4 linked regions of the Caenorhabditis elegans genome follow. The protein of the gene in region 1 purifies or fractionates together with the protein of each later gene. This does not show direct contact. Each region holds a gene or a part of one and is shown in the gene's direction. Other genes may lie near its edges.

Region 1 (7,370 bases):
AACATTATTCAACTTATTTTATAGGGACTATCCTACCTAACAGCCCGATAAGCCTACAAATGAGTCTAAAACGCCTGAAATTGGCCTAGAAAGCTTAAGTGAGCCGAAACATATATACAAAATTGTTTTACAAACATAAACTACAGATATTTTACAAATACCGTTGAAACACATTAATTATTATCACAACTGTTTCTTTTGATAAATTATATTACTTATTCTATGAGTATTGTGAAAAGCTGAGACGTCGAAGCAAATCTGAGAGGACTATGAAAAAGTTATTTGGTTTCAAAATTTCTGTTAGATTTCAAAAAGTAATTGATAGGAAAAGGCTCAAAAAATTCAAACAGGAACAACAAAAACGTATTAACTAATGGTTCCGTTTTTGGAATTAAACCATTTGAACCAAAAATATCATAAACTGTATAGTTCAAACATTTGAAATAAATATGAAAGTTGTATATATCGGAGATACACTTCTCCTTGGAAATGGAGACACAGGCAATCGGTGCGGGTTGAATGTCCGGATCGGTTGTGACATCAACAAGTGTGGAGTGATAACCGAAAGGGAAGGAAGAAAGAATAGGGAGTGTTTTTCGGGAAAGGACCCCCCTCCTCCTCCTTCTTACTAGGAGTCTCTGTCCTACATCCGAATTCCGTCGCGTCGTACACCGCCGAGACTGCTATATTCCTCCACGGACATTTCTGGGTCATTTGACTATCCAATCTTTTCTCCTGTGTTGCGGATTCGCCAAGTGCGCAGCGACCACCCCAGCGGCGTTGTCGATTTCAACAACTAGCGTGATATTGGTTTTCGTGGCATAAAGTACTTGATCAAAAATAGTCGACTTTCTGAACGGGAAGTAAAAAAAAAATACAAACAAAACAGATTTCTTATAAGTTACAAATAAATAATGGTGAATTCAAGTTAATTTAGAAACAATTAACACACAATCACAGTACCGGACGTTTGTGAGACCTTATAGTCCAGATTTGGGAATTACTGACAACCGAATAATACGCAGAACACTGGAAAATGAAAAAGTTTTAGGGATGCCGCGGATTTCCAACTAATCAGATTTTTGCTAGACGTACAATTAATGTTAAGTTAGAATAATGTCAAAACATCTGGTGAAGTTTGTGAATAATTGGGTTTTTAATGTTTAGTTGTTTTAAGTTTTAACATTTGTTAGTTCTATCATATTTTTTTGGATTCAGTTTTAGTTTTTGTGATCCTGTGTGCCCAATTGAGGAAAACTGGTTGCGTTTTAGGTGCCTACAATACAATTTTACCAAGTTTTTTTTGCAGATTTTTCTATCCTGTCGGTCACAATGCAACTAGCAAGTAAAAAAGTAATGACTTTGTTTTAAATACCATGTGCTAGCTGAGTTTCATCATGTCCAGAATCACCTCATCGTTAAAAAGTCATGAGTATCAAAGTGCAGTGTGATCAAACTGTATTACTTGAAACAATTTAGTTATATGTTTAGAACCCCTCATTCAAAATTAATAGACAGGGCTCTCACCGAATGTTGCAATTTGTTTCTGATAAGGGTCACAAAGCGGAGCGAATGCTTGAATGTGTCCATCAATGAGCTTATCAATGCGCTAAAACGCTATAACTTCCATATGAAGTCAATCGAACATATGTCAATCTTTAGCCGTATATAAAGGTGCACTGAAAACAGTCCAATCACGGTTCAGCCATGAGGTCGATCATCATCGCCTCTCTCGTGGCCTTGGCCCTCGCCTCCTCTCCAGCTTTCGAGCGCACCTTCGAGCCAAAAACTGACTATCACTACAAGTTCGATGGCCTCGTCCTTTCCGGACTCCCATCCGCTTCCTCTGAGCTTTCCCAATCCCGTATTTCTGCACGTGCCCGCATTCAAGCCGTCGATGACCGCTACATCCACCTTCAACTTGTCAACATCCGCATGGCCGCTTCCCACCTCCCAGAGTCCGAGCAGATGCCTTCCTTGAACTCCATGGAGCAGCGCGAGCTCTCCGAGGAGTACAAGCAAATGCTCGAACTCCCACTCCGTGCTCAACTCAGAAATGGACTTATCTCCGAGCTCCAATTTGACAAGGAAGACGCTGAATGGTCAAAGAACATGAAGAGAGCTGTTGTCAACATGATCTCTTTCAACCCAATTGCTCCAAGAAACGAGATTGAGAAGATCGAATCTTCTTATGACAAGGAGGAACAATCTGAGGAAAACACTTCTTTCTTCACCAACGAGAAGACCCTTGAAGGAGACTGCCAAGTCGCCTACACTGTCATCCGTGAGCAGAAGAAGACCATCATCACCAAGTCCATCAACTTCGATAAGTGCACCGAACGTTCCGAGATCGCTTACGGACTTCGTTACTCTTCCGAGTGCCCAGAATGCGAGAAGGACACCGAGCTCATCCGCCCACAAACTGTCTACACCTACGTTTTGGAGAACGAAGAGCTTAAGGAATCCGAGGTCCGCTCCCTTTACACTGTCAACGTCAACGGACAAGAAGTAATGAAGACTGAAACCCGCTCAAAGCTCGTTCTTGAGGAGAACCACTCCATCAAGAGCCACATCAAGAAGGTACGATAATCTATAATTTTTACAGTATGTTCTCAGAAAAATATTCTTTCAGGTCAATGGAGAGAAGGAAAGCATCATCTACTCTTCCCGTTGGGAGCAACTCGTTGAGGACTTCTTCAAGAATGGAGACAAGGCTGAGTTCGCCCCATTCGAGAAGTTCCCACTCGACAAGAAGATGCACTTGATCAAGACTATCACTGAGCAAATCCAAGAAGTCGAGAACAACATGCCAGAGACCTCCCACTTCCTTGCTCGTCTTGTCCGCATTTTCCGCACCACCTCCACCTCCCAACTTAAGGAGATCCACGAGACTCTTTACGTCAAGGCTGACAAGAAGGTAAAAAATTTCAGTTTCATTATATCCTATACCTTGCAATATTTAGATCCAATCATTGATGGAGCACGCTCTTGCTATTGCTGGAACCAAGAACACAATTCAACACATCCTTGTTCACATGGAAAACGAGGACATTCTCCCACTCGGTCAAATTCTTAAGACCATCCAAGAGACACCATTCCCATCCCAAAGCATCGCTGAGGCACTCATCAAGTTCGCCGAGTCTCGCGTTGCCAAGAACAACCTGGTTGTCCGTCAAGCTGCTTGGCTCGCCGCTGGATCAGTTGTCCGCGGAATTGTTGACTACAAGAACATCCGTCCACTCGTTCGTGAGGACAAGCGTGAGCTCAAGGAGAAGTTCCTCCGCGTATTCATGCAACAATACAAGGATGCTGAGACCACCTACGAGAAGATTTTGGCCCTCAAGACCATCGGAAACGCTGGACTCGACATCTCCGTCAACCAACTCAACGAGATCATTGTTGATAAGCGCCAACCACTCCCAGTCCGCAAGGAAGCCATTGATGCCCTCAGACTTCTTAAGGACACCATGCCACGCAAGATCCAAAAGGTACTCCTCCCAATCTACAAGAACAGACAATACGAGCCAGAGATCCGCATGCTTGCTTTGTGGAGAATGATGCATACCCGCCCAGAAGAGTCCCTCCTCGTCCAAGTTGTCTCCCAAATGGAGAAGGAGACCAACCAACAAGTTGCTGCTCTTACCCACCAGATGATCCGTCACTTTGCCATGTCCACCAACCCATGTTACCAACGTGTTGCTATCGTTTGCTCAAAGGTTCTTTCCTTCACTCGTTATCAACCACAAGAACAAATGATCGCTTCCTCCTACGCTCAACTTCCACTCTTCCTTCAAAACTCCTTCTCTGGAGCTCAATTTGACTTTGCCGCTATCTTCGAGAAGAACTCTTTCTTGCCAAAGGATCTTCACGCTTCTCTTGATGCCGTCTTCGGAGGAAACTGGAACAAGTACTTTGCCCAAATCGGATTCTCTCAGCAGCACATGGACAAATATGTTCAGATGGCTCTTGAGAAACTCGAAAGCCTCGAGAAGGAGTCGACCACTGTTGTTCGCGGACGCCGTATTCAAACTGGAATCAAGCTTCTTAAGGAACTTGCCCAGAAAATGAACATCCGTGCTCGCCCAGCTACCTACACCGAGAAGGATGCCTTCGCCATGGTCTACCTTCGTTACAAGGACATGGACTACGCCTTCCTTCCAATTGACAGACAACTTGTTGAGAATCTTATCGAGAAGTTCACCAGCAACGGAAAGGTTCAGTTCAGCGAAATCCGCCGTCTTCTCAACCAAGAGCTCGAGTTCGAGACGCACCATGCCGCTTACTTCTACGAAGCTATCCGCAAATTCCCAACAACTCTTGGGCTTCCACTCACCATCTCTGGAAAGATCCCAACCGTCATCTCGGCTGAAGGACAATTCTCTCTTGAACTCGAGGGAACGGAACTTCGTTTGACCGTTGAGGCTCGCCCATCTGTTGCTGCCACCCACGTCTACGAGATGAGAATGTTCACCCCACTCTTCGAGCAAGGAGTCAAGAGCGTTCAATCCGTCCGCGCCTACACCCCAATCAAGATTCAAGCCGTCGCTGGAATGAAGAGAAACTTCGAAATCGTCTACAAGGTTGTCGTTCCAGAGAACCAAAAATCGATCGTCTCCCTCACCACTCGCCCAGTTGTCTTCCTTCGTTTCCCAGGATTCTCGAAGTTCGAATACATTGAGGCTGAAGAGAGAACCGTCGTTGTTCCACAATGGCAACAAAAGACTCAGGAAATTGAGAAAGTCTTCAACTTCCTCGGACTTGAAGTCTCCACCCGCGGAAACATCCTCAACCAACACACTCTTGAAAACTGGCTTCTTGCCGAGCAAGACTTCGAGGTTTCCGTTGAGAACAAGAACCGTCCAGCCGAATTCACTGCCCGTCTCACCGTTGGACAACTCGAGAAGACCGAACTCTCCCAAATCAAGTACAACAAGATCTTCGAAAAGGAGTTCGAGCTCGAACAAGAGAACACCGAGAGCCGCCGTGAGTACTTCAACAAGATGGTCAAGAACATCCAGAAGGAGCAAGGATACAAATCCGTCATCTCCTTGAAACTTGAGGCCCCACGTGACTACACCATGAACACCGAGCTCACCACCGTCTGTGACAAGCAAGTCCGCATGTGCCAATGGGAAGTTGAAATCCGCCGCTCCCCAATCCTTGAGGAAACCAAGGAATGGACTCTCCGCTCCCAACTTCTTGTTGTCCGCCCAGAGATGCCATCATCCCTCCGTCAACTCCGCGATCAACCCCACCGTGAGGTTCAACTCTCTCTTACCTCTACCTGGGGATCCCAGAAGAAGAGCGAAGTCACCGTCAATGCTCAACTCCAACAATCCAAAGAACAGAAGAAATACGAGCGTAACATGGACCGTCAATTCAATGGAATGCCAGAGTACGAGCTTTTGATCAAGGCCGCCCGTCTTAACCAGATCAACGCTGTTGCTGAGTACAAGCTCACCCGTGAAACCGAACAAGTTCTTGCCCGTTATTTCGATCTTGTTAAGACCTACAACTACTGGACTGTCTCGAGCCGCCCAGAGAACAACGAGAATGATCGCGTCGTCGTCCAACTCACAGTTGAGCCAATGTCCCGCCAATACGTCAACATCACCATGCAATCCCCAATGGAGCGCATTGAGCTCAAAAACGTTCAAGTTCCACGTGTCTACCTTCCATCCATTGCTCAACGTTCCGTCAAGCACCAACTTACTGAGGCTTCCGGATCTGTCTGCAAGGTGCAAAAGAACCAAATCCGCACTTTCGATGATGTCCTTTACAACACTCCACTCACCACCTGCTACTCTCTTATCGCCAAGGATTGCTCCGAGGAGCCAACTTTCGCTGTTCTCTCCAAGAAGACTGAAAAGAATTCTGAAGAGATGATCATCAAGGTTATCCGTGGAGAACAAGAAATTGTTGCCCAACTCCAGAACGAGGAGATCCGCGTTAAGGTTGACGGAAAGAAGATCCAATCTGAGGATTATTCTGCTTACCAAATCGAGAGACTCGGAGAGTCCGCTATTGTTATTGAGCTTCCAGAAGGAGAGGTTCGCTTTGACGGATACACCATCAAGACCCAACTTCCATCCTACAGCCGCAAGAATCAACTTTGCGGACTTTGCGGAAACAATGATGATGAGGTGAGTTCAGTGTAGAAATTTATATTGAGTTATAACAAAAATTTTCAGTCCACCAACGAGTTCTACACTTCCGATAACACCGAAACCGAAGACATCGAAGAGTTTCACCGCTCATACCTTCTCAAGAACGAGGAGTGCGAAGCCGAGGAGGAGCGTCTTTCCGAGAAGAAGAACTACAGAAAGTACGAGAGAGACGAGGAGCAATCTGATGAGTATTCATCTGAGGAGACCTACGATTACGAGCAGGAAAACACCAAGAAGAGCCAGAAGAACCAGAGAAGCCAGAAGAAATCCGGTAAGATACAATTTCTTCAAATTTCATATCGATAATTTTTAATTTAAGATCTTGTCGAGAAGACACAAATCAAGGAGTTCTCCCACCGCATCTGCTTCTCCGTTGAGCCAGTAGCCGAGTGCCGCCGCGGATACGAGGTCGAGCAGCAACAACAGAGAAAGATCCGCTTCACCTGCTTGCAACGTCACAACAGAGATGCCAGCCGTCTCTTGAAGGAGTCTCGCCAACAGCCACTCCAACTTGACGACTACCCAGTCTCTTTCGTTGAGTCTGTCAAGGTCCCAACCGCCTGCGTCGCTTATTGATTAAGCTAGACCGGCACTTTTATGTAAATTGATCATTCACATCTGTTTGATTGTAGTCTTTTGACATTTTCTAAATAAAATTTTCACTTTGAACTATTGTTTTATTCTTTTTAAAAAAATTGCATTACTGAAAATTGGAAAAAAAATTGAAATGAAGGAAATATTTATACAAATAGCGTCGCTAGCAGTGCCGTTTGATAGATTTGTCCAATGCCATAGCGTGTTTCAGTTCGTCGTGTACAACGTGAAAGTCCTGAAAAAAGCTAGTCTATGCTTTGAAAGAACCGGAAATTATAACCAACAGTACTAAGAGAACCACCATCAGGATCCTCTTTCTCCGAAGGGTTTTGTTGAACAGGATTAAGAGCTGCAGCGACCAAAGCTCCAACGCCAGGAGATGCTCCCATCAACGCACCAATCGCTGTAGGGGCTGCCGCCAAAACACCAATCGTCGGAGATGAAACCACTGTGACACTACCCGGCGAGGACATCGATGCTCTTTGGACCGTCTGGCTTGTGCCATCTAGTGAGATATTTCCAGTTTCCGCAAAAACAGCCGTTGGGCGGGAAATCGTTAGCTGATCAAGGTCGGTCGTTTCATCAATACTGGTGTCATCGAACGAGTCT
Region 2 (7,587 bases), on another chromosome or scaffold:
CGGCTCGTTTATTTTTGTAGACATCGTCAGTTTCTTGACATTTCTTATTCTTAAAAGTTCAAAGTTTATTGGAACTTGAAAAAAATCAGAGTTTGAATTTTAAAAATTTTTTTCAGCATATTTTTTGCAAGTTTAGAGATTTTAAATTCCAAAATTGATTTTTGCAGAATTTTTTTGACAGTTTTTTTTAAACTGAAAATGTAGTACTCAAATCAATAGTAGCCAAAGCAATAAAAAAGGCTTGAAAATATATTCCCACCTGAAACAATTTGCGCTCGGAAAATTTAAATTCAGCCAATTTCAGCAACCTTCGTCAATTTAAGAACACCCTCCAGTATAGAAGCTGGGTTTTTTATTTGCAAACTTATCTAGAATGCTGAAAGAAAACTCGAAAAGTATTGCTATTTGTTCCAGATTTTTCCATATTTTTCACACTCATTTCCCAAAAGCTTCTGGCTCCAAGTAAATATTTTTCCAATTTTTTGCCAGTCCGTAAATATATCTATAGCCTCCCTCGTCGTCATGTTTACATGCTCAATTCCATCCTCATTTCTCATTATTTCCTTCATTCATTCTAAAAAATCTTTTCTTAGAATGGACACTTTTAATTTTATATCTGTAAAAATAAATATGTGAAAAGAAAAGTGAGGAAAAAAACAAAGATTGAGAGCCCCCGTTCTGTGATGATTGATGAATGTCGGGTGTTTGAGAATTTTTCATCAAAAACATACTTTCCTTCATCTCTGATTTTTTTTTGGATTTTAAGGATATGTAGAACATTTTGTTTTCCTAATATTTCAAAATAAGATTTAGTTGAAAAATAAATTCAAACATCAAACCTTATTGGCCGACACCCTCACGGTCAAATTTGCCTATCTGATACCCTGAAGTTTGAGCTTATTTTTTTTTGGTTAAATTTTTTGGGCCAAAAAATCGGTGGTCCAATTTCGTGACTTCAAAAAAAGTATTCAAAAATACTAATTTTTTGGATCAATGTAGAGCGCATTTGCACTGATGTACCGTAAAATATGGCGAATTGATAATTGAATTCAAAAATGGTTCGGCTGTGCGGTTCAGATAGGGCGAGTAGAAAGGCGAATAAGAGGTGCCTTCCTACGTCTAGGAACACCTCGTATCTGTGATCTAACTTTAAATTTTTATCCCCAGAATTATTTGCGAAATTTCTGATTTTTGCGACAATTCTAATTCAATAATTGATTTGATTATATCGAGTCTAGACTCTCTATACTTTTTGGCACCTTTTCCCTTTTAATCTCCTTTTTTCTTCCACTTTCCTCTTGCCTCCGCTCTGAATCCGAATTTCGCTTTTCCTTCTTCACACAAATGAACGCAATCCAATTAGTCCTCATCCAACCACCCCGTCCGGTGCCCAAAAACCTGATCCTTATCACAGTTATCACCCGGGAGACGAAAAAGAATATAATTATGAATAAATAGATATTTTCACTTTCCCGTAAATCCTTCTGTCATTCCTCTTCTTCTTCTTTTCTCCAAGCCTCGGAAATATTCTAATCAATTCTGAAATTGAAAATCTCTTCAGAAAAGAAGACGTCGCCGGGACAACAACAACAGCAAGTGGGCGGTGCATGCGTCGTGCGCACCGCTGCTGATAACAAAATAGTGTGCGAGACGGTGAGTCGCAGACAAATCTCACGGGGGAATATCATTTCAGGTCATTCCAACCGGAGAAGACATGCGCGCAAAACGGTCCTTTATTGTTAAGGTTATGCAATATCCTCGGATATTGACACCCTTTCCCGTACCGCCCGTTCGCTCCTCAGTTCCCCTAAACTGATACGAATTATATCCGCTCCCCAACCTTTCCACCTTTTGAAAAATTCAATTTTACAGCTGCCTAATTCAATCCAAACAGCCGAGATGACAACGGCTTCCGAGCTGCTGTCAGACGACGCAAGAGCTCGATTCTCACATACAAAGGCTCTTTTTGAGCAGCTTGAGAGACAGCAAGACGTGAGTTTTTTTTGGATGATAATAATTGGTTTCCGAATTTTGAAATCATTTTGCTATTTTGCATTACGGTTATTTATTTTTCTTGAAAAAACTCACTAAATTGTGGATTAGAGCATATATTCCAGAATTTTTATGCAATTTTTCGCAAAATGATTTTCCTGGCTATATAGATCAAATCTGTAGCTCCCTATGAACAAGTTTTGCCTGCTAGTAGATTCTTCACTTAGGCCTTCAAAGAATAAGTCCCCTCTCTTGATTTGATCTATGAAAATTGCTGGAATTTTGCTCACAGGAAAAGTGAAAAAGTATGACGTCCCCGCTCTTTAGATCACCAGCTGAAAAGTCTGCGTCTAAATTTGGCGAAGTTTTCGGAGATCATTCGGAAAAGAGATACTCTGACTACCAGTTTCTGTATCACTTCACAGCCTCACGTTTAAGAAATTTGACGTCACGTCTGAAAAATGTCTGAAAAAGAGGTTTCCCTATGATCAAGTTTTGCTCAACAATTATTAATTTGGGTCAAAAGTTGGAAACACTGTCGACTTGATTTAGACTTCTACCATATTTATAACTCAAGTTTTGTTAAACACAGCTTAAACCCAGTATTTTCAAAGTCTTGCCCAAATTTTGCCAACTTCTGAGCTAATAGTAAGCTAACTTTTTCAAACATCAGATGCCCGCCACGCTTTTTCCAAAACAAACTCTAAATTGGGCAAGCAGACTACTGTAGTGTCAATTAAAAAATAATGTTTCTAGGTTCCATCATTCTACTCTCCACGTCTTCAACGTCAACCACCACCTCCATTACCCCCAAAACCTCCATCTCAATGTCCGCCGAGTCCGATGTCACAGGTATGTGTGATCAAACAATCACATGGCTCTCTTTCTCTCTCTCTCCTTCTCTTTCTGTTTTCTGGAAAAAGAAATGGAATTTAAAAATTCAAAGACTGTGTCAGTTAGTCAATGTTTTGTGTCTCCAACACCCCCGTCTCTGTTATACTGTTCGGTTGACTAATCCGCTCATCGATAATAGATTCAAAAATAATGGCATTTACTCATATCACACACACACTCCTTTCCCCCATCAGACACACACGCATATAACACATAATCGAAAACTCGAAAACTTTTCCAGGTCGAACGAAATTTCTCTGATTTGGCCGCGGATCTCGATCGGATCCAATCATCGCCGGCAACGTCTAGGTTTATACAAAATAAGTGAGTTGTTTTTTTAAGGATTTGTTACCATACCATAACTTTTTTTTAATTCTCAAAAAAATGTAACTGTAATTTTTTTTGATCAATCGCAATTTTCTCCATTCGGTTCGCGGGCCAAAGTATTTTAATTTTTTTTGGTAGTTACAAAAAGTCGCCTGCAACTAGATTTCAGAAATTCTAGGAAACTGTGCGAAATTCAGATAAATTAGTTGAGAATTTTTTTAAAGGAACTTTTTTGAATTTTCAAATCGAAAAAAAAACCAAAATCTCTGTTTTTTCTTTAATTTCAACTAACATTCTTCTTTGCTTCATTATCAGCTTCGCATGCCTTTTCTTTTTCCAATTCAGATCATCAACTCTTCCGTCATCATATTCCGATTCCACACAGCAGTATTCGTTCGAAAATACGGTTGCCACGTCGCAATATGGAGGACTTCAAACCAACAACAATAATAATAATATTAATATGAATTCATTTGAACCCTATTGGAGAAATGGATCAATATATCGGAGGCAATTCGAAGGAAATGGCAAACCGTATGTGTTTCGCTTCTTTTATTTTTCTTACTTTCTCGCATGAGTTTCTTTATTTTTCTCTATAATAGTTTTTTTTCTTGCGCTGAAGTATTTTAGTTGCGACTAACAAATATTTGTGTTTTTTCGAAAAAAAATGTGGCCTAGAAAAAACCAGAAACTTGGCCAGCATATTTTCTTAGATTTCTCATTCGGGATTTTTTTTGAATTTGCTAAAAAAAAGATCCTTGTGACTTTTCCAAAGTACAAAACTAAAAGTAAAATTTTTGATTCATTCAGGAACACGGTCTTCTTTGGATCTTTCAGAATAGTGATGGCACATAATATCTTGAAATTTTCGAATTTTTCAATTTGAAAAATCTATTAAGATTACAGAAATTGCTAAAATAGCGTGGCCGAGTTTTCTCACATATCGGCTCGTTGGAACCGTAAAAACCCTTTTCAAGCCCATTGTTGGCAAGCTTATGAAGGATCTATCGTAACCTTAAGTTTTTAAAAAACCGCACTGTGTTTGTGATAAAAATTCATTTAGTGTGTCTAGATATATTTTTAGAACGCCGATTTTTTATCGGACATTCACATTTTTTAAAATTTAAAAATTTGATACGATTTGCGCCAGATTGTTTTTTTAGTAAATTTAATATATGCAGGCACCTGAAAAAACCAATCATTTCATGAAAATGAGTTGCTGTTAATATAAATAATCAAATTTCTTCGATCAAAACTTTTTTTTCAGTTTTGGCGAGGAAAACGATGGAATCTCACCAACGACGAATGGAGTGAAGCACACGACATACGCCGTCGTCAAAACACCAAAGGAAACAGAACTTGAAACAACATCAGAAAACAGAGGACTCATGGAAACACGGAGGGGTCTGAGTCCAGAGAGGCCTGACGTGGATTTAACGAATCGAAAGGTCTCGTTCAGCACTGCACCTATTCCGGTAAGATCACCCACTTTTCCCATTCACTCATGTTTCTTTGTTGTTGCAAGTTTGCTCTATGGAATGTATGATGTTCAAAATAATTTTATACTTTTTCTAGGCCAAGACAGATTGAAACGTGGCCGAGAAAAATCTTTTTGAAACTATCAATAGAGCAAACATGCATTCACTGAAACTTGACCACCACAACCTAACATTTCCTTTTGTTTACATATATGTGGCAAGGTGATATTAATTCATTAATAGATATATCTATACAATCTCGAATTAGGTCACCTTATTGATATGATAAGAGATGAGGAACAAGAGAAAAAGAGAAAGAGAAAGCGATCTTCATTTGCATAATATCTAAACGTTTTCACTTTCAGGTCTTCTCGGCGTTTTCCGTTGAAGACTACGATCGCAAGAATGAAGACATTGATCCGGTGGCAAGTTGTGCTGAATATGAATTGGAGAGACGACTTGAAAGAATGGATTTGTTTGAAGTTGATTTGGAAAAGGGTGCCGAGGGACTTGGAGTCTCTATTATTGGTTAGTGATTGTATTGTGGCTTACCATAACTTAGAAGCCTTGTATCTCGGTTACAATCGGATGTTGCTCACAGTTTCTGTTTCATTTTTATAGTTGGAAACTTTCTTTTCTCGGCATAACCAAAGATAACCGAGATATAAGCGCTTAATTAAACTTGAAGGAATGTCAACCTGAAGCTACTGTTTAGGAAAAAATTATATGCTTTCTGCCTGCCTACGGTTTTCGGATAAATTCGTTATGTTTCAGGTATGGGTGTTGGTGCAGACTCGGGTCTTGAAAAGCTGGGAATCTTTGTAAAGAGCATCACACCTGGCGGAGCTGTTCATCGAGATGGACGAATTCGTGTCTGCGATCAAATTGTTTCAGTCGATGGAAAGAGTTTGGTCGGTGTCTCACAGTTGTATGCTGCAAACACGTTGAGATCCACCAGCAATCGAGTCACTTTCACAATTGGTTGGTTTTTTTTGGAGTATTGTGCCGAACGCGTATGATATATTGCATTGATGACTCCGTGAAATAACACAAATATTTTTGTGTGCAACAGCGACTCAATACACCATATTCCGCGCAAGCGTAGAGAAAAAAAGCATCTAGAAAATATTTCAATTATGTTTACCAGTTATCTTCCAATTTAAAAAAAATGTATTGCAGGTCGCGAACAAAACCTTGAAGAATCCGAAGTTGCTCAGCTAATTCAACAAAGTCTTGAACACGACAGAATGAGAATGATGGGAGACGAGGAAGACGATATCGAAGAGCCGCCACCACCACCATCTCAAATGCCACAGCTACCAATTGAACAGGATCGTCCGACAACTTCAATGATCACAAAAGAAGAAATTGAGATTCGTTCGAAGATTGCTGCTCTTGAACTGGAACTTGATGTTACTCATAAGAAAGCAGAGCAATATCATGAAGTGTTGAGCTCAACGAAATCACATTGTGATCAACTGGAAAAGCAGAATGAGCAGGCAAATTATATGATTAAAAACTATCAGGAAAGAGAAAAAGAGTTGTTGAATCGAGAAGAGAATCATGTGGAACAATTGAGAGATAAGGATGTACATTATGCATCATTAGTTCGTCAATTGAAAGAACGAATTGATGAGTTGGAATCGAAATTGGAAGAAGCTGAAGAGAGAAGGCATTCTATTCAGAATCTTGAGCTTATCGAGTTGAGAGAGAAGTTAAAGGAGAAAGTTGAGAAGAGGAATGAAGGAATGGCGTATAGACCAGGTGGAGAGCTTCCTCACGAGGATAAGGCTGTTATGGTTAATTTGGAGACTATTGTAAGTTGGAGAAAATATGAAAGAACATTCATCTTCAAACTTCATTCTAAAACAGTTTTCACATAATGCCTAAAATTAAGCTTGAGCGTAGGCCCTATGCCTAAGCCTAAGCCTACGCCTAAGCCTAAGACTAAGACTAAGCCTAAGCCCAAGTAAGAAACTAATTATAACACCCATTTTCATTTCCAGACTCCATCAACCAAAAAAGATGCGGAAGTATCAGTTGGAAGTAGTTGGACAGAAGAGTACTCATCACCATGCGAGTCGCCAGTCCCTCGTATCTCCGAGCCAGCATCTCCGGCTCTTCCACATAAATTGACGCATCGCAAACTTCTGTTCCCACTCCGAAAGAAGTACGCCGAAAACGAGTTCTGGCGTGCCACGTGTCAACCAGTTGGTCTTCAAGCTCTTCATTGGACGGTGGACGATGTTTGTCAGTTGCTCGTTTCAATGGGCTTGGACAAATATGTGCCAGAGTTCACCATTAATAAGATCGATGGAGCCAAGTTCCTCGAGCTCGACGGAAATAAACTGAAGGTGAGTAAGATGTATACGATCCCGGCGCAAGAAAACTCGGGTAGAAAAAAAAAACGCTGCAATTACATAACGAAAAGTTAAACTATTTCGTAGGCACCAAGGTGCTAAAATTTTTTAAACTTTTCGGTTTTTTGGGTAAAACCGAGAAAAAGATTCCTGAAAATTCTGAAATGAATTCAATATTTATGTTACACTCTATTTCATAAAAACAACAGAAATGTCACTTTTCGAGCAAGAGAGACTGAACTTTTGTTTTTGATTTTTCAGTTTCTTGTGCCAAACCCAAAAACCCTTCAGGTCTAGTAGGCACAGTCTGCCTACCTGAAAAGTGCCTAGAATATACAAGGCTTAAAATAGGTGCATTCTATAAACCTTATGTGACGTCAACTTTTTCAAATTTTCCACAATTTTGGGAAATCACACCACTTGAAATTGTTTATCTGAATCAATATTTTTTAGGCAATGGGAATTCAAAATCACTCGGATCGTTCTCTAATTAAAAAGAAAGTAAAAGGAATGAAGAATAAAATTGAAAGAGAACG
Region 3 (4,325 bases), on another chromosome or scaffold:
CCAAAACAGAAATTTTAGAACGCTTCGACAGTGATTTTGCAGCATCAAGCAAGCCGACTCTTTTCTTTCCGGGTACAATGCTACTTTCAGACGATGTTCCAGCTGTTTCCGTTCTGAAAAAAATTATTAGAAAAATAAGAAAAAGTTGTTTTTAAATTTGTATCAAATAAAAACTCATGTCAACTCACTTTTTCGGATAAACCTTCTGATTTGTAGACTCGTTGGATGCAGATCTGTAAAATACATTTTTAAAAGTTATTTCTACTTGTTTCAAACATACGCTGCTGATTTTGGATACACCCTTTCTTCAGTTTTTGGAATATTCTTGCTTGATGTATCGTTGACAACTGGTTTCGGTGCTAGCCCAGTTAATTCTGCAAATATCGCATCCACATCAACACTTCCTTCAGTACTGTTTGCCTTTTCTGATGTATGGTCGTCACTTTGTTTTTCATTTTTCAGATGTTCAACTTCTTCGTCAATTCCATCTTCGCATTCTTCTTGATCATCGATCTGTTGAGGAGAATGAGCAATAAAAGGGCGATATCTAGGAATGCTTACTTCATCCTTTGGATCAAAATCGGTATCCTTTGTTGGATCGTAATCTTCATCGGACGATGAGTTGTAGTCTTCTTCGTTATTTTTAAGCTCCGAGGTCATTTTTCTGAAACAATTTATATTTTAAATAGTTTCACAATTTCAGTGAGAATTCAAAAGAATAAAATATGAATTAATATATTTATAAAATATGAATTAATTTATATTATAATATTATCTCAAAAAAAGTAGCGCGAGATAATTTTTCTTATTGAAGTACGCAATTGTGCGTGGTATTCAGTGTAAAATTCGACGGAGCGCACATGCTTTATGATGACTTAGCCGCCATTTTTGCATTTCATTGTCGAAATTCACTTCCTTTCATTTTTTCAAAGCACTCCCTTCAAAAACTTCATTTATATTGTTTCAGAACCAAAATGAATGCTCACGACGAAGTCCAGCGCACACTGTAAGTCATTAAACCTATATTCGTTTGAATTAACTCAATTTTTCAGGAATCCTACTTGTACCGGAACATCGGTTATCGCTCTCCAGTATAAAACTGGGGTTGTTGTCCTTACTGATCGAGTTGTTTCCTATGGAAAAATGGCTCGTTACAAGGTTTGAATTTCCGTTCAGCTGAAAGTGGATTTTCATAATATTTGTTTCCAGAATGTTTCTCGTCAATACAAGGTCAATGATAATGTTCTCATTGCCTTCGGAGGAGATCACGCTGACTTCCACTGGCTTCAAAATGTGATCGAGCGTCAGGTTCTTCTCTGGAAGCGCTTCGATCAGGATATTGGACCAAAAGCTCTCCACGGATACCTCACAAGCCTTCTCTACGCCAAGTCTGTTTTCCTAATTAAATTGAAAGTTTAAGTAAAAAATTTCAGACGTTGCAAGATGAACCCAGTGTGGAACACACTTGTTGTCGCCGGAGTCGAAGAGGAGGAGAAGAACAACAAGGAGACTAGCACACCTTTCATCGGTGTCATTACTCAGAAGGTAAACTTGAAAGCGTTAACTTGCCGGATCAGAATCTCATGATTAAATAATCACATAATAATTATTCTAAATTTCAGGGATGCGCATATCAAGTGAAGCACATTGCAACTGGACTTGGAGCGTTCCTCCTCAACCAAGCTGTTGAAGATGAGTGGAGAAAGAAGGGAGAAGACCTCTCCCGTGAAGAGGCAGAAGCCGTGCTTCGCAAATCGCTTGAACTTACTCTCTACCACGACTGCGTCGCTGACAATGAGTTCGAAATCGGACGTGTTGATGCGACAGAAGGTGTCGTTTTGGGTAAAGAAGAGAAGATTATTGGTGACTGGTCGATTGCCGAGACTAACTGTCAATATGAATAAGTTTTCCCCGGTGTGCAGGATGCGTTTCAGTATCTCCATGTTTAACTTATTTGTATCCTTCTTTTCAAAACATTTTACTCTCTCCAACCCACGTTTTCGGTGTAAATTTTATTTATTTTCGCGTGAAGTCGATAAATAAACTTCCATTTAATCCTTCTATTCACGTCTAAGTATTCACACGCATCATTTCACAAGTGCTCGAGTCAAAAATAGCGAGCATGAATTTCTCTGGTTTAAAAAGTATGATGAGTTTTTGGTTTAAAGTAAAATCGAGCGCTTTCAGGTAAACTCCAAAAGCTCAGTTTATCACCATCGCCTGATAAACAGAAATCTGATTATGAAAAGAAACAGGCGAAGAAGATGAGCTACAAAAAGAAGATGCAGCAGCGGTATAAACTGAGTGATGATCAGTATGAAACTCACAAGTAATTAAATAAATTGATGTATATGTAATAACTTATCTGATTTGGTTTCCAGGAAGGATGCTCAGAAACAACTGAAAAATTGGGAAGAATTTCGAAAGGAGCAAGTAGTTGAAATCTTTCATACGCAGTCTCAATACGTTTCGAAATCGAAAAATTCAGACGTGGTAAGCATACAGTATATATATATATATATCTCGCCGCGCAAAGGAAGTGCTTAATTACGGTTTTTACTATCCATCTAAAAAGTTAAAAAGAAATACATTATTTCTTGAAATTCAGCGCCATCCAAAGATGCAACGAGCCAATACGGTTGTCAATCGTCAAGGAGTGAAAGTTGATGTAGAATTTGGACGATTGAAAGAATACTACTTATCCACTTTGGCTCCACAAAAAAAGTTTGTGTCGATTCGTGATCACGTAACATAGAGATTATAGAGAAATTTACTTTAACCATGAACTTTAGGCAGCTCGTGAAAAGGAACTGGACGCTCTTCGTAAGAAACAGAAAATCAGTTTGGAGCAAAGGAAAGATAAACAGGACAACATAAAAAAGTCCCAAGCAGAGTACGATCAGATGAAAAGGTTTCAATGGGTCGAATGGTTTTATGTAGAAATTATCATATTTTAGCTTATACGCTGCCCCTGTCGATCCCAAGCAAACAAAAGTGGAAACAATGGAGCAAAAAGAAGTTTTAGAGCCAACAGCCCCGATGGAGAAATTCGGTAAAACTACGAAACAATACAGAAATCGGAGTGTTTATTTTCAGTTGTGAATACCACTGACGACAAAAGAGCCCTGTTCCCAGCCAGTTGGTATCAACAACCGATTTCCCGTTCGCAATTGAAGAAAGGAAAGATGATTTATTGGATGGCAAAAGACGAAGAGTAATTTTCGTGGCTTGCATCCGTTGGATCTTAATATTTGAATTTCAGAGAGGATATGACGTTGGACGATGATCCAGAGGGAAAGTACACGGTTACTGCTGAAAAGTTGATTGAGACAATGACTGCTGGGGGGAAAGTTAAACATGCTGGAATAACAGAACCACCTAGCAACACAGCAAACACCATCATGTCCGAGTCCTTGGCATCAATTAATGCGAGATACAAGAAGAGTTGTGAAAGAAATGCTGTTTTCATGAATACCTTGCACGGTACTATTGAATTCAACAAGAAACAAGTATCTGTAGATAAAACCCTCTCTACAAGTTCAATAAGCCAGGATGATGCGACCGAGTAAGAATTTCGAAACTGATTTTTCTCTAACGAGTTTTATTTTTAGCGCTCCGAATCAAATCATTTTTGCTCCAACAATCACTTCTCATGTTTTCAAAGGCCGATCTCTGAAAAGACAGTATGCAGTGAAAAATAAGGCACTTGAAACTTTTGAGGAAGATCGGAAGGATTACACTCGAGAGGCTGGAGAAGAAACTAGTGGATTGTAATTTTTTGTATTGAACTAGAAAAATAAAGCCTTAATTTCTTTTATCTAACAAACGTTGAAGAAAAAACACATATTTTCACAAATGAATATGCTTATCGATGTATTAAGCTTCGAGGGCAGCGAGTCTCTTCTTTTCGGCAACCTTAGCCTTTGTATCCTTCGAGACATAATTGGCTGGAACAATGTACCCGAAAATGTAGCGACGTCCAATCATTTCTCCGACAAAGAACCAAAAGACTACCTCGAGGGCAACTGCCGAGTAGACGAGACTTTCCTGAAGTTATTTTTTATTGAGTGTTGTTTCAGCGTGTAACAAATTACCTTGATACTAAGGTTGACATATTGCTTGGTCTCAATAAACTTCTGGAGCTTAGCCCAGTCCGCCTTGATAGCTGGGATGTCAGCAGACCGGGGTGGAGCCAGCTCGTGCTTTCCAACAGCCTTGAGAATAGCGAGACGGCGTGGGAACTGCTGAGCTTGATGACGGTAAAGAGCTCCAAAGGTGTTGGCCAACTTTTCGAAGAAGCTCAGCTTGTGGGTCGCCATCGCTGA
Region 4 (5,252 bases), on another chromosome or scaffold:
TTTCAATCAATACACTGTCCTAATCCCTCCACCAAGAGTACCCTGTCACCCAATACGCAACCACAGGGTTTCAGTCGCGTATCTCCTCGGTGGCGTGTAATTAGATTTAAAACGGCTGACGAATATCTTGACAATATGAATAATTCTAGTATTTCTCTAACTGTTTCCATTTAGATTGAATGTCCAACTATTATAGATGATTTTCTAGGAAAACCGCGTTCTCAAAATTTAATTTCCTTTTTCTACAGCCCATCCTTATGATTCATCACAAAAAATAGTTTTCCCAGACGTTCATTTTAACATTTTCTCGCTGTTGTTTTTTTTCTGATTTAGGCAAGCATTTCTGAAAATAAGGCTTACTTAACATTTAAATGTATAAACTTATGTAACTCGAATGTAACAATTATTCTTAAAGCTTGTTGGTCCTCTTGAGGTCAAAAGTGGTGCCATATCCGAATCTCGCGCCATGTTCTGAGTTGCTTTCTCTGTTTTGTCTCTACTCGTGTGCGCAGAAAGACCTCCGCTTCCAACTCAGCGTTCATCTATGCATTCCTAGCATTGTCTGCGTCTCACGACTGCGCGGAATAGATGGGGAGTGAGGGGAGCCGCTCCTATGTTTAAAAAAACTGAGAGAACAGAGTGGAAGAAGAGGGAGGAAGAGGAAAAGAATACGGGCGTGTGCAGTTTTCCTCCTCTTTCTCTTTTCCTGTGAAGAACTGCGATGTTGCCACGCAGAATGTAGAAGGAGACGTCATTTGTTTCGGACAGTTCTTTTTTCCATTCGAAATTTTTACGGTGAAAATTGTGAACACGATACATCTTCCGCATGTTCTTAATTGTTACCGCGAACGACATTTCACTGATTTGATAACGCAAAACACCTGATAATGATATTATTTTTACTGATGCTGATAAGACGAGGAATTGTTTTCGTCCAGAGATTGAAGGCTGTTAACTTTACAACAATAACTGTCTAAGACTTTTTTTTTTAATTTTAACATTTTACAATAATCAAACTACGATTTAAAACTCGTGGTGACTTTTCATGCCGGAATTATTTTGAGGTTTTTTCCTTATCAGCACGATTTTCCGTTTTCCCTTTTTTCTGCTTTTGCAGTCCGAAACGAAACACCTCCAACTTTATAAAAATGATGCTATCAAGAGTTCCGTCAAAGACATAATGTAGTTTCCTCTTTTTCATCGGCAGCTAACCATAATAATGTTTAAAAAGAACGTCGCAAAAACTGCAACAATTATTGGACTTTTTGATGTAAGACAAATAGGCTGCACTCTGAACGGGAGAAGATGAGAAAAAAAATTGTCAAATATTTGCACAGAAATATATTTTCCCTTCTTGCATTATTCTCGCAATTCTCGTAATTTTTTGTCTAGCAATTTTGCTCATCGTGAATTAAAAATTGTTCTTTATGTTCCCAAAACTGTAGAAATGCTGCTTCTGTATACATATCATATTATATACATTCTCTATTCCATGCGTCACGGTCTTGTACATTCTTCCCATTTTTCTTTAGAATAATCTCTTCTAATTTTCGTTATTTACAGATGAAACGGAAAGTTTCGGTATACGATTCTTCAAAGGATAAGACACTCGGCCAGGTTCGTGTTTTTGTTTAGGACATTTTACGATTTTTTGTTTGAAAGTTTCCAACAAGTTCTATTTTCAGGTAGTGAAAGGTGAATCACCAATATGGATTCGTGTAGCTATGGCCATCCTTCGTGTGTGGTTTTTCATATACGATTGTCTCAACTACTTGCCATACCAGTTGTTCAATTCGCCAACGGAAAAGCTTCGGAAGTCGGAGCGAGTAAAGGTTTGTCAATACTTTTAATATTAATTTATCCGTATTATCTGTTTCAGGCAAATTGGGTTGACGATCGTGATGGACCAATCCGTAATATTCAAGGACATGCTTCAGAAACATTCCCAGGAAAAGACACAGTTGATAAGGTAGGCAAGTGTGCAAAGATCTGCATTGCAGAATTCGATAAAAGCTGAAGTAGCACATTTCATGCTTTAAATTTTAGGTTTGGAGAAAGTGCGTCGAACTCTACGATGAATCGCCATGTTTGGGAACTCGACAGCTTATTGAAGTTCACGAAGATAAACAACCTGGAGGCCGTGTGTTTGAGAAGTGGCATCTTGGAGAGTATGTGTGGCAGAGCTACAAAGAAGTTGAAACTCAAGTCGCCCGCCTCGCAGCCGGTATCAAGGATCTTGCCCATGAAGAACAAAATCCGAAAGTTGTTATCTTTGCTGAAACTCGTGCAGATTGGCTCATCACTGCTCTTGCCTGTTTCCGTGCCAACGTCACCATCGTAACTGTATACGCAACTTTGGGAGAAGACGCAATTGCTCATGCCATCGGAGAGACTGAAGCTACAATTCTTGTCACTTCTTCGGAACTTCTTCCAAAGATTGTAACGCTTGGAAAGAAATGTCCAACTCTGAAGACCCTGATTTATTTCGCTCCTGTGGACCAGAAAGCACCAGCACCAGAGCTTGCACCGTTCCGTGATCAGTTCAAACATGTTCTATCACTGAGCGGACTTCTTACTCGCAATCAGGAACAAGTTAAAGAATCTACAGCTGTGAAGTCAGACATTGCCCTCATCATGTACACTTCTGGCACAACTGGTCAGCCAAAAGGAGTTATTCTTCTTCATCAAAACGTTGTGGCTGCTTTGTTGGGACAAGGGGATGGTGTTGGAATCATATGCAATGCAGATACATACATTGGGTATCTTCCACTTGCTCATATTCTCGAATTGGATGCCGAATTGACATGTTTGACTAAAGGAGCCAAGGTAAGAATTTTTATTGGATTTAAAACTCATTTTACCCATTTATTTTAAGGTTGGATATTCTTCACCCTTGACACTTCACGACCGTGCATCAAAAATCCAAAAGGGAACACATGGAGATTGTCATGCCCTCCGCCCAACTCTTATGGCTGCTGTTCCAGCTATTATGGATCGAATTTTCAAGGCCGTCTCCGAAGAAGTTGCTGCATCACCTCGTTTCATGCAAGAATTGTTCAAACTTAATTATGAGAGAAAGAGATCCCGCTATTTGGAGGGTTACTGCAGTCCATTCCTTGATCGCATCGTATTCAAAAAGATTCGCAGACTTTTGGGAGGAAAACTTCGTGGTGTTTTGTCTGGTGGAGCCCCATTGAACGCTGAAACTCAAAGATTCATGAATATTTGTATGTGCTGCCCTGTTGTTCAAGGATACGGACTCACAGAAACTTGTGGAGCTGCTTGTGTTGCTGATATCAACGACTTGAGCACAGGAACCGTTGGTCCCCCAGTCAGATGCTCAGATATTGCTCTTCGTGAGTGGTCCGAAGGTGGATACTCACCATTCAATGATCCACCACAAGGAGAGATTCTTATTTCTGGAGAAAACATCTCACCTGGATATTATAAACAACCAGAAAAGACCGCTGAAGATTTCATCACCTATAAAGGAAAAGTGTACTTTGCCACTGGAGATATTGGACAGAAGCGTGATGATGGTTCTCTTCTCATTATTGACAGAAAGAAGGATTTGGTTAAATTGCAACACGGAGAATATGTTTCTCTCGCTAAAGTTGAATGTGCACTTCTCAATTGCCCAATTGTTGATAACATCTGCGTTTATGGAAGTGGAATGGAAGACAGTGTTGTTGCTCTTGTGGTTCCAAACCAGAAGCACTTGGAGAAGATTGCTGAAGCGGAAGGTGTATCAACTAGTGAAATGAAGACGATGTGTGAAGATAAGAAGGTCATTGCTGCCTACAAGAAACAACTCGAAGAACATGCCAAGAAAAGTTAGTTTTGAGAAATTATGAACGTTCTAATGTTTAAAATAATTAAATTGTGGTTCCCTAAAAATGTATATTGTTTCAGGCAAACTTTCCCGCTCTGAAATCCCAGCCGCGATTCATCTTTGCCCCGAGATTTGGACTCCTGACACTGGCCTTCTTACCGAAGCACTCAAGCTGAAGAGAAAGCCTATCCAAATGGCCTACCAGAAGACCCTCGATGATCTGTATAAGCAGCTCAAAAAGAATTGATTCATGTCTTCCTAGCTTTCTTTTTTTCTTTTCCCGCCCTTTTCACACTGGTAACTTGCTCTTCCCCACCTATTCGAGATACTCGATATTGGATTCCCATCTCTTTTGTATACTTCCCTCATTTATAGCAGCATAATCTGTTAGCTTTCATACCGGAAGCTTTAGGTTTCATTCCTATTCTGTAAAGATTCGTGTTTCATGCTACTCTTTCCCGTATTCTCCTTCCCTTTCCACCATCAAAGAGCTTTTCTAACTTGTTTTTCACACATCGTACCTATTCGTAACTTATTCTTTCTAGAGCCCCTGATTCCTTTTCCCCAAACATCCAAACGCTTTATATTTTGGTCGCCCCTGAAAATTAGGTAGATTGTTTTCAAAAATGAAAATGCTGACAACATTTTTGTTTTTCAATGAAATCCATCGAGATTTCAAGGGTGTTAAGATAGATTTTCAATTTTTACAAATTCATTCGATCAATAGTTTGTTTTTGCCAAATGGGTTGTTCCTTTCACACCGACACAGAAATACACACATTTTCCCCCATCTTTTTCTATTTATCTCGTCCCTTCTCCCCAAAACATCTATTTGATTCCATCCTTGTATTGTCACACACAGATGTGAAATAAAAAAGATTGATAAATGATCTTCTGTACTGAATCTACACACTAGTCGTTGATCGACCATCTTTCAACGTCATTGGTTCGAAGATGAGCGATTCCTGTGACGCCTAGAACAAGAATAGACAAAACAAAGAAGAAATCTTCATTTGAAGATCAATATATCTTTTTTGGAACATATACAACACTTACTATTCTATCGAGATATTTTGGTGGATTATTGATTGATGATCCAATAAATTTATCAGCTGCAAGAGGGGCTCTAATGACAGTTTGTTTTGAAATTGATTTTTCATTTTAATTGGAATAAATCATGCAGGTTAATTTCAAACGGAAGAGTAATTTTATATTACTTGTGAGCTTTAAACTTACTTTTTCAGGCGAGAGTTTTCACGTAGAAGTAGAAAATTGAAGAAGCCTTGATTGACTGGAATTTTTAGTCCTCATCTTTCCTTTATCTTTTAAACTGAAAATTTGATAATTATTGTACACATTTTTAATGTTGGGATAAAACCTTTAAAAAATAAAGGTAATGTTATGATTGGTAAATGGTAAA

What was found.
Region 2: the proteins of vit-2 (region 1) and nab-1 purify together in Caenorhabditis elegans (affinity purification with mass spectrometry, with the first as the bait; one large-scale study listed by BioGRID). This does not show direct contact.
Region 3: the proteins of vit-2 (region 1) and K07A12.5 purify together in Caenorhabditis elegans (affinity purification with mass spectrometry, with the first as the bait; one large-scale study listed by BioGRID). This does not show direct contact.
Region 4: the proteins of vit-2 (region 1) and acs-4 purify together in Caenorhabditis elegans (affinity purification with mass spectrometry, with the first as the bait; one large-scale study listed by BioGRID). This does not show direct contact.

Annotation. Positions count from the first base shown.
Region 1 is NC_003284.9:5,099,336-5,106,705, forward strand, and holds vit-2 (Vitellogenin-2), read left to right. Parts: upstream 1-1,696; 5' UTR 1,697-1,707; coding exon 1,708-2,580; intron 2,581-2,632; coding exon 2,633-2,917; intron 2,918-2,963; coding exon 2,964-6,143; intron 6,144-6,191; coding exon 6,192-6,438; intron 6,439-6,486; coding exon 6,487-6,743; 3' UTR 6,744-6,834; downstream 6,835-7,370. Other genes in the region: C42D8.9 (CUPID domain-containing protein), read right to left, coding at 6,925-6,996, 7,046-7,370. UniProt on the Caenorhabditis elegans protein: Precursor of the egg-yolk proteins that are sources of nutrients during embryonic development. Together with other vitellogenins, may play a role in modulating life-span, acting via induction of autophagy and lysosomal lipolysis.
Region 2 is NC_003279.8:4,228,016-4,235,602, forward strand, and holds the start of nab-1 (Neurabin-1), read left to right. Parts: upstream 1-1,561; 5' UTR 1,562-1,653; intron 1,654-1,870; exon of another isoform or gene 1,871-1,872; 5' UTR 1,873-1,899; coding exon 1,900-1,992; intron 1,993-2,748; coding exon 2,749-2,844; coding exon of another isoform or gene 2,845-2,928; exon of another isoform or gene 2,929-3,127; coding exon 3,128-3,210; intron 3,211-3,558; coding exon 3,559-3,747; intron 3,748-4,480; coding exon 4,481-4,688; intron 4,689-5,056; coding exon 5,057-5,219; intron 5,220-5,465; coding exon 5,466-5,672; intron 5,673-5,870; coding exon 5,871-6,508; intron 6,509-6,697; coding exon 6,698-7,045; intron 7,046-7,504; coding exon 7,505-7,587.
Region 3 is NC_003279.8:8,692,942-8,697,266, reverse strand, and holds K07A12.5 (Pre-mRNA-splicing factor SYF2), read left to right. Parts: upstream 1-1,992; 5' UTR 1,993-2,122; coding exon 2,123-2,144; intron 2,145-2,187; coding exon 2,188-2,329; intron 2,330-2,381; coding exon 2,382-2,493; intron 2,494-2,608; coding exon 2,609-2,746; intron 2,747-2,792; coding exon 2,793-2,911; intron 2,912-2,957; coding exon 2,958-3,052; intron 3,053-3,096; coding exon 3,097-3,214; intron 3,215-3,262; coding exon 3,263-3,565; intron 3,566-3,611; coding exon 3,612-3,774; 3' UTR 3,775-3,816; downstream 3,817-4,325. Other genes in the region: F39H11.1 (Craniofacial development protein 1), read right to left, coding at 1-113, 189-233, 281-513, 562-660; pbs-7 (Proteasome subunit beta), read left to right, coding at 975-1,006, 1,053-1,158, 1,210-1,388, 1,434-1,545, 1,623-1,904; asg-1 (putative ATP synthase subunit g 1, mitochondrial), read right to left, coding at 3,877-4,047, 4,095-4,319.
Region 4 is NC_003281.10:7,166,275-7,171,526, forward strand, and holds acs-4 (long-chain-fatty-acid--CoA ligase), read left to right. Parts: upstream 1-1,563; coding exon 1,564-1,617; intron 1,618-1,685; coding exon 1,686-1,832; intron 1,833-1,879; coding exon 1,880-1,969; intron 1,970-2,046; coding exon 2,047-2,826; intron 2,827-2,875; coding exon 2,876-3,833; intron 3,834-3,912; coding exon 3,913-4,079; 3' UTR 4,080-4,716; downstream 4,717-5,252.